4 linked regions of the Saccharomyces cerevisiae S288C genome follow. The main gene of each other region encodes a partner of the protein of the gene in region 4 in a complex. Each region holds a gene or a part of one and is shown on either strand. Other genes may lie near its edges. The genes, in order: MRPL32, MRP20, MRPL17 and MRPL15.

The links.
Region 1: MRPL15 (region 4) and MRPL32 share a complex: the UniProt entries of both Saccharomyces cerevisiae proteins name them as parts of the mitochondrial large ribosomal subunit.
Region 2: MRPL15 (region 4) and MRP20 share a complex: the UniProt entries of both Saccharomyces cerevisiae proteins name them as parts of the mitochondrial large ribosomal subunit.
Region 3: MRPL15 (region 4) and MRPL17 share a complex: the UniProt entries of both Saccharomyces cerevisiae proteins name them as parts of the mitochondrial large ribosomal subunit.

Annotation. Positions count from the first base shown.
Region 1 is NC_001135.5:116,686-119,671, reverse strand, and holds MRPL32 (mitochondrial 54S ribosomal protein bL32m MRPL32), read right to left. Parts: upstream 1,053-2,986; coding exon 501-1,052; downstream 1-500. Other genes in the region: YCP4 (flavodoxin-like fold family protein), read left to right, coding at 1-97; septin CDC10, read left to right, coding at 1,324-2,292. UniProt on the Saccharomyces cerevisiae protein: Component of the mitochondrial ribosome (mitoribosome), a dedicated translation machinery responsible for the synthesis of mitochondrial genome-encoded proteins, including at least some of the essential transmembrane subunits of the mitochondrial respiratory chain.
Region 2 is NC_001136.10:1,275,854-1,278,937, reverse strand, and holds MRP20 (mitochondrial 54S ribosomal protein uL23m MRP20), read right to left. Parts: upstream 1,293-3,084; coding exon 501-1,292; downstream 1-500. Other genes in the region: DNA-directed RNA polymerase II subunit RPB7, read left to right, coding at 1,769-2,284; DIT1 (Dit1p), read right to left, coding at 2,726-3,084. UniProt on the Saccharomyces cerevisiae protein: Component of the mitochondrial ribosome (mitoribosome), a dedicated translation machinery responsible for the synthesis of mitochondrial genome-encoded proteins, including at least some of the essential transmembrane subunits of the mitochondrial respiratory chain.
Region 3 is NC_001146.8:170,941-174,161, forward strand, and holds MRPL17 (mitochondrial 54S ribosomal protein mL46 MRPL17), read right to left. Parts: upstream 1,347-3,221; coding exon 501-1,346; downstream 1-500. Other genes in the region: TEX1 (Tex1p), read left to right, coding at 1-346; Nrd1 complex RNA-binding subunit, read right to left, coding at 1,648-3,221. UniProt on the Saccharomyces cerevisiae protein: Component of the mitochondrial ribosome (mitoribosome), a dedicated translation machinery responsible for the synthesis of mitochondrial genome-encoded proteins, including at least some of the essential transmembrane subunits of the mitochondrial respiratory chain.
Region 4 is NC_001144.5:757,962-760,741, reverse strand, and holds MRPL15 (mitochondrial 54S ribosomal protein mL57 MRPL15), read right to left. Parts: upstream 1,263-2,780; coding exon 501-1,262; downstream 1-500. Other genes in the region: ATG39 (Atg39p), read left to right, coding at 1,909-2,780. UniProt on the Saccharomyces cerevisiae protein: Component of the mitochondrial ribosome (mitoribosome), a dedicated translation machinery responsible for the synthesis of mitochondrial genome-encoded proteins, including at least some of the essential transmembrane subunits of the mitochondrial respiratory chain.

The sequences.
Region 1 (2,986 bases), on a different chromosome or scaffold from region 4:
TTCTGATGCGGCTAAGAGACAAACTAAACCTGCAGCAGCTACAACTGCAGAAAAGAAGGAGGACAAAGGATTATTATCCTGCTGTACTGTCATGTAAGAAACAACAGTTCGCGTCTAATATTTAGTTCTTACTAACATTAATTCTATCTCAGCAGATATATCAATGTAGGACGTTGGAAAATTAATAAAGAATTAACTCTTTTTATTTTATTTTTTCCTTTTTATATTAAAAGTATATTTCTGTAAGTCCTTGTACTAATAATATCATTTCCTAATATTTTGAAATATAGTTGTTTTTTGTCAAGCAAAACTCTTGATTTCAAAGACCTCATTTTGTTAAGCCAAAAGCGAAAAATTCTATTTCGACTTTTCTTTCTGTTTCCGCTCCTTGTATTCTACCATTGATGCTGTCTTAAACAATAAATATACAGTTTGAAATTAAGTTTCTATATACAGGCTTAAGTTTATTTAAAAAGGAAACCACTAGATGAAAGATGAGCCTAGTCCTTTTTTAAAGTCCGAACGCGACGTTCCAAATAGTTATCTTTATCTTTCAAATCCTTGGTATATTTGGTATCTCTTCTACCAGGATATAGGACTCTTTGGTCTAGTTCGGAAAGTTCCTCCTCTTGTCTCGGCTTAATTTCTTCTTTAGCGGTATGCGTTTTCCATATATGACTTATTTGTCCAACACAATACATACACAGTGTATTGGCTCTCTTATAATGGCCGCATGATGGGCACTTATTCAAATGGTGAATCATCTTCAATTGCTTCTTACCTGGACCGTAAAGTTTTTGCCTTTTTTTTTGGTGTGATACTTTTTTTTTAGGAACTGCTAGTAGAATACCATTATTAGAGAAAAAATCTTTATCTTCAGTGTCCTTATGATCTTGTTGTAGCTTTTCTCTCAACCAACGGTGGATAGATCCCAGTTGTTTTTGGCCTGGAATCTGCAGTGAAGGATTTCCTAGCGGTACCAACCACCCAATTGCAGTGGTAGGCACAATTTTGTGAAATGCTAATTGTTTACCAAAAATCAAAGAATTCATAGTTTGTTTGCTGATATTCCCTGGTGTTTTTGTCTCCAAGTTAAGGTATTATTTGGGAACATTGTGCCTTATATTAAGATTTGCTTTCTGAATGCTTGCGGAAATAATCGTATGATACGATGAGATTTCCTCGAGAGACCACAAATAGATCAGAATCGCTGAATAGAATATATGTAAACATGTATCAGTAATACTTAACTTTTTTCAGGCAAAGACAAGAAAATACAAGGCCAAGCCCCACGGTTACTACAAGCACTCTATAAATATATTAATGGATCCTCTCAGCTCAGTACAGCCTGCTTCTTATGTTGGTTTTGATACCATCACGAATCAGATCGAACATCGTCTGTTGAAGAAAGGTTTTCAATTTAATATAATGGTTGTTGGCCAATCCGGATTGGGTAAAAGTACTCTAATAAATACGTTATTTGCCTCACATTTGATTGATTCTGCTACTGGTGATGATATTTCTGCCCTGCCTGTTACAAAAACAACTGAAATGAAAATTTCTACTCATACTCTTGTGGAGGACCGCGTTCGCTTGAATATTAATGTTATAGATACACCTGGATTTGGTGACTTTATTGACAATTCTAAAGCTTGGGAGCCTATTGTGAAGTACATTAAGGAACAACATTCTCAATACTTACGTAAAGAATTGACAGCCCAACGTGAAAGGTTTATTACTGATACAAGAGTTCATGCAATTCTTTATTTCCTGCAACCAAATGGAAAGGAGTTGAGCCGCCTTGACGTTGAAGCCTTGAAAAGATTGACAGAAATAGCAAATGTTATACCAGTTATTGGCAAGTCGGATACATTGACTTTAGATGAAAGAACGGAGTTTAGGGAGCTTATTCAAAATGAATTCGAAAAATACAATTTCAAGATTTATCCTTATGATTCGGAAGAACTAACTGACGAGGAATTAGAACTAAACAGAAGTGTTAGATCTATCATTCCGTTTGCAGTGGTTGGTTCTGAGAATGAGATTGAAATAAACGGTGAAACCTTCAGGGGAAGAAAAACTCGTTGGAGCGCTATTAATGTTGAGGATATCAACCAGTGTGATTTTGTATATTTAAGGGAATTTTTGATTCGAACTCATCTCCAAGACTTAATCGAAACAACTTCCTACATTCATTATGAAGGGTTCAGAGCAAGACAATTAATTGCCTTGAAAGAAAATGCGAATAGTCGTTCCTCAGCTCATATGTCTAGCAACGCCATTCAACGTTGAATCTCATAAGAATGGTGGTGATTATATATCTTATGTTATTAAGAATTCTCAAATTATTCTATATGAAAACACCGTAACTTGCTTCTCTCCTTGGTTTTACATAATGACATAATGCGATCGAAAACTAGAGGTACAGGTATTGCTGGATTGGCGAGAGTTTTTACCTTCTTTTCTGGCGTACAGCTATCACCTTCTCGTTTGGTAAAATGAAAGAACATTTTGTTGTCTTAGCCAAATATTTAATCTATGAAGAAAACGGAGTTTACCGGTAATTCTAAATAAAAGTTTGGTTAGGGATTGTGCCTCATAGAGAAGCAATTGGTACTCATCTTATTAAAGTATTACTATAAACATTAGAAAGAGTCCCTGAGCGTTGCTAATGGGAAGCTATTCGCGCTTTTAGTAAATTATTAAAATACGCCAAAAATAAATGTAATCCGGATATACCTCTTCTTTTAACCTTCCCAAACGTGTCCCACACCAAATTGAGCACCCTGCTCGATTATCATATGTCTACTTCACGTCTACACCAGTATGCGATCTGATTCAATGTTGTTTTACTTTAATATATAGGTCTTGTATTTATTACAGATTAATATAAAAAGAAAAGATTTTTCTGGCCGCACACTTTCATCCTCGATTATCATTACACTTCAGTTTTTCCCTACCTCCCTTAACCTAACTTAGGAGGACT
Region 2 (3,084 bases), on a different chromosome or scaffold from region 4:
TAGCAGTATTCTTTTCCCTCATCGTCTTACCATCGTGCCATACCTTAACCCCGGCACCGTGCGTTGCAGATCCGCCCCTCGCGGACCCGCTCGAGACTCTCCGCGGAACGAGCATGCGGACGGCTCCGCGCCACTGTCTCCGCAGGCATCCGTGCATGGCATCCCGCGGAAGCGACCCTGAAAATAATAAGTAAAGCAACCAATGTTCTTGCTCTTTGCGCGAACAAAAATAAAAAAAGAACAGAAATACAGGCCACCTTCCAGGGCAGGGGAAGGGGATGCCATCATCATTCTTTTCTTCCGTAAGGCATGTTCTACAGCCACTTCATATATTTTTGCGTTTGTTGCTCGGAAAAAGTAATGTTCTTAATTTTCTTTCTTTTTTTTTTTTTCTGTTTAGAGATTATGTAGTTTGCTCCGTATATACAAGTGTGAGGGGTGCAAGATGCTTATCTGGGTATTTGCGTGTGGGTTAACGAAGGGGTGGAATGGGAAACCTTCTAATGTAGATCTTCTATGTACCTGTTCAGGGCAATTAGTTTATCTGCGCGCTGCAGTTCGGCGGCGTGACGCTCTCGCTTATTGTCTATCTCTCGTTTTAAGAAGCGAGGTATAAAAGGCTGGGCCACCCGTTCGTAAGGCCCCACGACTCCGTCGAATGCTGTGCCGGGTTTGTTGGCGTCTGAGCCCAAGCAGTTAAGTCTTTCTTCACGGTACTTTTCCATGTTGTCAGGCGTGGTGCTGTCCCAGAAGGAGTTTTCGTCCGGACGGGGTTCTTCGGGCCAAATGAAGGGTTCTTCCATCTCGATAGTCATTTTCTTGATCTGCGGTTCTCTAAACCGCGTCGTCTGTAGGTTCATACGGTTAAACTTCCCATGAAGCAGCTGCGTCGTAATGTTCATTGCTCTTAAGCCGTAGATATGATAAAGATAGTCTCTGAGATCCAGTTTGTTGAACGATTTTGGGACGATGAATTTTGCTTGATACGGTGTGTGCTTCGCGTTGGGCCTCAAGAGGATGATCCTGGCCTTGGGAAAGTAGACTTTGTTACCTCCAACTTTGAAATGCTCCTTTCCCTGCTCTATGCCCGCCTTTGTCCACTTATAAATCTTCTCGCTTACGTTTATATCTACTTCGCGATCGCTGCCGCTTTTGTCGAGTATTTTGGAGGAACTCTCCACCACTGAGGCTAGTGATCTTATTGGAACCTGCTCTGGCTTGCAACTTCCTACTGCAAGTGTTTTTTGCAAAGGATACAACATATTCTTCGTTCCAACCGTCAATCGTGGCATATTCTGTGTTGGTGTTGCGTACTTTTTATTTTTATTTTATTTTTTTTTCTGTTGGAGCCTGCTAATCAAAGCACATTATTTGTTAGTAGCGTTACGTTCTCCACAAGAAATGTATGTACATTTCAAGTTCTAATACCATCGTTTTCCCTTTTTCATCGAGAAAATTCGTATAACGCGATTACGTATTAAGTGATCTTCTGTGGGTTTCAACGGCTATTTTGAAAAATACAAGGAAAATAAATGCGGTATTCCTATATCCCAGTGAAAATGCCAATAACGTAGACAAGCTCACTTCGTCGATTTATTCTCTAACATTGGGTCGATCAGGTCTGTCCACCTATCTCTTCTCCCAGAATATCATAGCCTTTCTTTTTCCGTTTCTCCTCCTACACCATTCTCCTTTGCGATTAGACAGTGGGAAAGTCCAAGAATAGATTCACATTTCAACCACTGTATAAATAACTCAATTTCTGAGAATGTTTTTTATTAAAGACCTTTCGCTTAATATTACCCTTCATCCGTCCTTTTTCGGTCCTCGAATGAAGCAATATCTAAAGACAAAACTATTGGAAGAGGTTGAAGGTTCGTGTACGGGTAAATTCGGATATATTCTTTGTGTCCTAGACTATGATAATATAGATATTCAACGTGGGAGAATATTGCCCACAGATGGGTCCGCCGAGTTCAACGTGAAATATAGAGCTGTAGTTTTCAAACCATTTAAAGGGGAAGTAGTGGACGGCACAGTCGTTTCATGTTCTCAGCACGGGTTCGAAGTGCAAGTAGGTCCAATGAAAGTATTTGTGACAAAGCATCTGATGCCTCAAGATTTAACCTTTAATGCGGGTTCAAACCCACCATCATACCAAAGTTCCGAGGATGTCATCACCATAAAAAGTAGAATTAGAGTTAAAATTGAAGGTTGTATCAGTCAAGTGAGTTCTATTCACGCAATCGGTAGTATCAAAGAAGATTATTTGGGTGCTATTTAATCACTTGTTACTCCGCAACGCTTTTCTGAACGCCCGCCTTCGCCTTTCATTATCATTCTCATCCCAAAAGAACTGTGCATGTTATTTGCAATACTTCATATACGCTCTGTATTATTAATAGTATCATTAATTACGTCAATTGAAATTCAAAATATCATCTTTGACAGTAACATCTATCCTCTTAGACAACTAGGGCCATTGCAGTGTCTCGAAACCATTAATATCACTGAAAAGATGAAAAGAAAGGCAAATATATATTGATCACTAATTTTCTAAGCTAAAGAATCTATTCCCCCTCTGTTAAATGGAATTGTGTGAAATAAAATATTATAAAATCAGAACTTTGGGGGGGAAACATAAAAAAATGAGAAAAAGAAAACGAACTAACTAATGTTTAAGTAAAAGAACAAAAAGGTAGACCAATGTAGCGCTCTTACTTTATTAAGAGATTTTCTTGATAACGAAATGTCCTCCTTCTCCAATATCGAAACGAGTATCTTTCCATACACCATCATACATACCCTTTTCGAGAGCCTCCTTGACTACTTTTGATTTTGTCAAAAAGTATTTCTCCTTTTCATCCTCAACCTTCACGACACAATTATGCCAAGGTGTGGGAATATGTAAAAAATCTTCAAATTTGGGTTCATCAAGGTCTTCTAACGAACTAACAATAGAACACTGTTCGTTGGAGATTACTTTTATACCAAATTTGGGCCCGCTGTTAGTGTGCGCATGAATAGAAATTCTCAAATGATGAGGGAATATCAATTCCACTAAGTTCGAATACGCGTCATTTC
Region 3 (3,221 bases), on a different chromosome or scaffold from region 4:
AATACTAGGAATTTGTACAGAAGATGAAATGGTATATTTCTATGATCTTAATAGTGGTAATTTACTCCACTCTAAATCTTTAGCCAATTACAAAACCGATCCCGTTTTGAAGTTTTATCCTGATAAATCATGGTATATCATGTCAGGCAAGAATGACACACTATCAAATCATTTTGTTAAAAACGAAAAAAATCTAATAACTTATTGGAAAGACATGTTCGATAACACGATGATTGAAAAACGTAGGAAAAACAACGGTGGAGGCAACAACCACAATAAAAGGACGAGTAAGAATACTGATAGGATTGGCAAGGATAGGCCGAGTAGATTCAACTCAAAAAAATAAGTTACCTGATGGAAGGAATGCGGTAGAAAATGCACATTCTTTTTCTTTCATTTAATGATATTTACATGTGATTGACGACAACCTAATATATAAATATATATGCACGCATATATTTTGTATATGTAACGTTAAAAACGCATCTGTTTTTGTGATTTCAATTATCCGCTAAAAGAAATTCTGTTTTGTTAAAGTAATCTTTTGGTACATATTCACTGATCTCACCTTTTGTCAGCCAAGCAAAATCCTCGAATGCATCATTTTTCGACGCCACCAAATCAAATTTTCCAGCCAAAATGTGTGACTTCACAATAAACTCAGCAGTCCTATTTCTCTCGTCCTGCAAAACACCTATGGGCGTAGCAGAAACAGACCAAGTGTATATCTGATCACCGCTCAACAATTTCAATTCGTTCTCTGCGTGTACGTGTAACGGCTTAGATTCATCAGAAAGATCGAAGTTAGGGAATTTCCAAGTACCGCTTTTATCCTTAACCAAAAGATATAAGGTCCTGCTCAATTGTCTTTCAAGGCTCTTCATATCATTTGACCTATCTGCTTCCGTTATCCTGTCGTTGGGAATCACGGGCCTATTAACATCGTCTTTGCTTTGCTCTTTTTGATTGTTGCTAAATGCTACTGTACTGTCATCAGAAAGTTTAACTTCTTGCTTAGTACTTCTTTCTCTGCCATGTTTAATGTCCGGTATGCCTCTAGGAAACCAAATGCCATTTTTTTTGGAGATAGGTCCTTTCTGCAGGGATAGAAATTTGTGTTCTGCTACAGTACCCTTTTTGAAATAAAAATATGCCGGAAACGTCCACATTAGTCTCTTTTCTAGTTCTGATTGGTACTCATAGTATTTTTTCTCTAGTTCATTTAATTCTGATTTAATTATAGGGATTCTTGACAGTAGTACTCCGACTTTAATCTTGGGGGGAGCGGAACTGGCAGTTGCAGTTGCAGTAGCAAGCCCTCTTTTCAACATTAAATTTACCTTCATGGTACTGGATAAGCGCTTATGATTACGTAGAATATAAAGTTTATTGATTGTTTAACTGTTTTCTTTCCTTTTTTTTTTTTCATTTTCATTTTCATCTAAACCTTGAAAAAAAACCAGGAATACGGTAAAAAAAGAGAATAAAGAATAGGATAATGCTACATTTGAAACACAGTAGTTATGTGAATACATAAGGATGTCCATTTAACAAAAAAAAAAAAGGAACATAGGAAAAAACAGAAATTATATATAGAGGTAGATTAGTTTTATGTACTATGAGCAAATAAAGGGTGGAGTAAAGATCTTAGCTTTGTTGTTGTTGCTGCTGCTGTTGGTTAAGCATATTCATCAAAGAATTCAATTGAGCAGTGGGGTCAAATTGTTGCTGAGGTACAGGGGGAGCCGCTGCGGCAGGTCCCTGAGAAGGTAATGGTTGGTTGGGGGCATAACCATACGGTTGCTGCATCATAGGTTGCACATATTGCTGTGGTGGAGGAGATGCCAATGGTGCATTGCCGTAGGGTACTGGAGATATCGACGATATGCTACCAGATTTGTTAGGTTTACCAGAACGTGGCCCATTTCTGCCAGAATCAGTAGGCATCTTTTGAGATATTGCCTTGGAAGAAACACCTTCACCAACGATAATATCCGGTTCTTCGAAAACAATACCGGTAACGAGAGGTTGACCAGAAGTGCCACCCCATTGCGCACTTACTGACCATTTTTTATCAGCGTCCGTGAGCCTGTGCATAGGAATAATACTGTAACCGTGTTGATAGTCACAACAATCTCTTGGACCAAAACCAACTCCCCACCTAGTTCTCAATGGCAGGGCTCCATCTTTATTGAAGTTTTGCAAAACATTTTCGGCCTCATGTCTTGAATAAACTTTCACAAAAGCGTGTTTTCTGGAGTTATTCAGAATGACGCTTTGTACTTCAGCAAAAGGTTTTAAAACGTTAGCAAGGTCCCATTCCTTCATGTTTAGTGGTACCCCACCGATGAAAAGAGTACGGCTGTAGACTTTAATATGATCTGGTGGCAATGTAGAGTCGTAACTTACTGGTTTTGGTCTATAATGAGGATTATTGGAAACATTAAGCTCATCGGGGTATAAGTGGTGATTGTTTGTGCCAAATGTCGTATTGGGGGCGCCTATGCTGTATTGGTCCTGGGCCACAGATGGATAGCGGTCCTTCCTGCCTGTCGATGGCTGAGAAAATGGTGCCGGAGGAGATCTTGATCTATTCCTTCTTGAGTTATATCTTTCTCTTTCACGTTCACGTTCACGTCTGCTACCATATTCGGTAATTGTATGGGCTTGGGGAGGTGCGACTGTACCCACGGATGTATGTGAAGGCAAAGTTTTAAAATGTTTCTGCAGAGCCGCTATTACTTGGAAAAGAGCTGCTTGCTGTTTGGCTGGATCTGTGGAAGTCAAATCAGTTGGAAGACTTATGTTCAAGTTTAAAGGAGGACTTTTCTTTAGATTTGACAAGATTTGTTTCGACCTCTGCTTGGGATCCAGTGATAGTTGTTGTGAAGCGGTGTTCGCGGTGTTATTCGATATGTCCATAGCAAAGCATTTTGACCTGATGGCGTTCAAGTAACTCTTTTGAAACAAGCCGGACCTGTCCCAAATGTCTAAAAGCATACGAATTTTTTCCTTGTGGTCTTGATTACTTTTTGCAATAGCATCGGATAGCAGTTCTTGAATTACTTCGCCCAACGTGTTTATGGCATGGGCACAAGTACCGGGTTTGTTGCTGCTGCTGTTTGAATTTGATCTTGTTTCATCCAAGTAAGCTCTACCTATTGAATCGATGATATATAAAGAACCTAATTTATGAGAATCGGGACAAAGTCTTGAGTAGT
Region 4 (2,780 bases):
CAAGCCTCTAAATCAAAATTGTTCAAGTCCGCAAGATCAGTTTCGAGATTATGTCAAAATTCCATCGAGATTATTCCTATTTTGGAATCGGTGATTGATATGACTACCAAAGCAATGGTCCAAAAAAGTTTTAAACTGGATTTAGGCGAGCACTGTAAAGAAATTATTGAAAGGCTCACAGATTGCTCGCAAAAGTTATCGGAATTGTGTACTTATGGATGCGATTCCACAAAGCTTGGGAAGAAACGATTCTATCAAAAATTAGCAGATATCCTGATGGAAGTAACCAAGCGCACCAGGGAATTGGTTGAATGTGTGAAGATGGCGAACAGGCAGACTCTTTCACAGGACCTCTCGTCATTTTTCAATTATAGATCTGTACAGTAAAGTCATATATATTCTTTAGTTATTATCTTATTTTATTTCGATCACTATTTACAGATAAATTTTTCTTTTATACATTTTTGGCCAGTGAACCATCAACTATATTTTTTGTATCTTCACAGAAATGCTTTATTTTCCTTGTCGGATATTTTTGCCTTTGCAGATGCTACATTTTCATTAGCAATGTTAACCAAGGAATGAAGATCTTCTTTATCCAGCAAACTTCCTTGGATAAATTTAGCTGCTTTTTCAGATCCATTCGTTGACAGAATTGCACCAATAAATGCGTTCAAGACACTAGCAAAAATCGTGGTTTCACCATTTATGTGGCCATCTTTTATTGGGTCTCTCATCTTCCAAAATATGAAAGGGTCTAGATTATGTAATTTAACGAATGTGCATGCTGTGTTTTTGGACGTTAATTCCTTAGCGAATTTTGTTCCCAGATTGCTGAACTGCAAAGAAAGTTGCCCGTTCTCGCAACTCTCGGCCGGCGAACCATTCTTTAACGAATGAATGCACGTCTGTAGTTTCAAAAACTGTGCTCCTAGCAGATTCAGTTTTTCGTTGTATGGCTTTGACCCGTGTGCGAACGACTTATGTGTTAAACACTGCAAAATCAGTTCGTTTGATAAATTTATTCCGTACTTGGGCAATTGTAGTATGGATCTAACTTTGTCTTGACACTCTTTTGCGTTAACTTCAGTAAAGAGTACCCCGCTAGGATTTCTCAAGTACGACTCTGGATCTCGTCTCAAACCATTAATTCTCGGACCCTTATGAAGGTATATGACTGTTCTAACGCTTTGTAAATTGCAGTTCAAAGCAGTAACGGGTCTCCGCAAGGAACGCGATATAAACATCATGCTATTTTCCATGTTTCCGAGCTTGTCTACTCTTTACTTTCCATCTACCGTTATAGTTTTATATCTCGCTCTTGTTCATACTATATGCAAGTTTTCCAACGCTTCCCATAGCATAAGCTTGGATAGCGAAACCTAAGTTGTTTTTTTTTTCAAAAACTCATCAATTAGGGCAAACTTGAATAGTCAGCTAGGTCATATATTTAAAATCAATTAGCCCTATGACTACATTAGGTTTATTGTTAGGTCTTTACGGCTGCATATTTGCTTTCGCCGTTCGGCGGGGTCCTGCGACGATTTCTGCGCGGTCTTGTATGGGTGGAGTTGACAGTTAACCCTCCGGACCCCCTACCCCGGTGTGCCCCCGGTCCATCTATCCATTTTGCGGTAACCCCTTTGCGCGACAGCTGCTTATCAAGGTACCTGGATCGAGCCATAAAAATTGATCTACACAGATGAGATGGGGCATTGGGATATATTATTAGTCGGAGTATCATTATAGTTATTCAGTTTTATGCAGGTTACTGGCCAAACGTTTTTCTTCATTTGGAATAATCGTTTAGGAGCTACTGTTCCGGTATAAAGTAACAAGCACAGTAGCAGAGTAATACGCAGTGACGATAATAGAGACTAGTAAAACAGTCGAGTTGTCGGACCTAAAATGTCAGAAGAAGACGATCATTGGAATTTAGTTAGATTACGTAGATTACGTAAAGGGAGAGAAGGGGAAGAACAGTCATCGAAGTCAGAAATATCTTTGGATAGTTTGCATGAAAGCTCCTTTGCAGGAGAGGACGACGAGGACTTCGATGCAGATGTCCTATCGAACACTAGCAGTGAAGAGTCTGCACAGATGAATCGTATTTACGATTTTAGAACATCTAATGAATTTAGTAATGCTGGAGTTAATATTGATCAAACTGGAGTTCCCACTATTTCAGAGTCATTTGATACTTTGTCCGGCTCAAATGTTGGCGGAACGGTATTGCCAAGTATGGAGGGGTCGAAACTGAAGGATAGTACGATAAGGAATTCTAGCACACTATCGGATCATATCATAGATAAAAGTGAGGGTAAATCTGCTAAATTGAAGATGTGGCATGTTATCATGCTATCTTCATTGCTTTCCATGACCTTTTCATACCTCGCCCTCGAATATTCCCTGACTGGTGATGTGTTGGCAGGTTTTAAATCACAACAGTCATTACGTAATAATGAAAGGAAGCTGTTGTACGGCAATATCGATTTTGTTGATAAAAAATCTTACGATTCATCAAGTGACTCTTTAAGTCAGTGGGCTCCTTCAGGAAAATACTACGTCGACTTCGACAATCATATTGCATACCCATTAAAGGATGATGACCTAATGGGCTGGAGACGATACAAAACAGACTTAGTTATTTTATGGTATACAACAAAAGCTCGAATGAAAGACGGTTGGCACAAGAGAATTAACAAAATAAACGGAGGAAGAATAAAGTTACACCTATTTCTCAAGAATTCTTTTAAATCCGCTCAAGAAAGTTTAAGGGT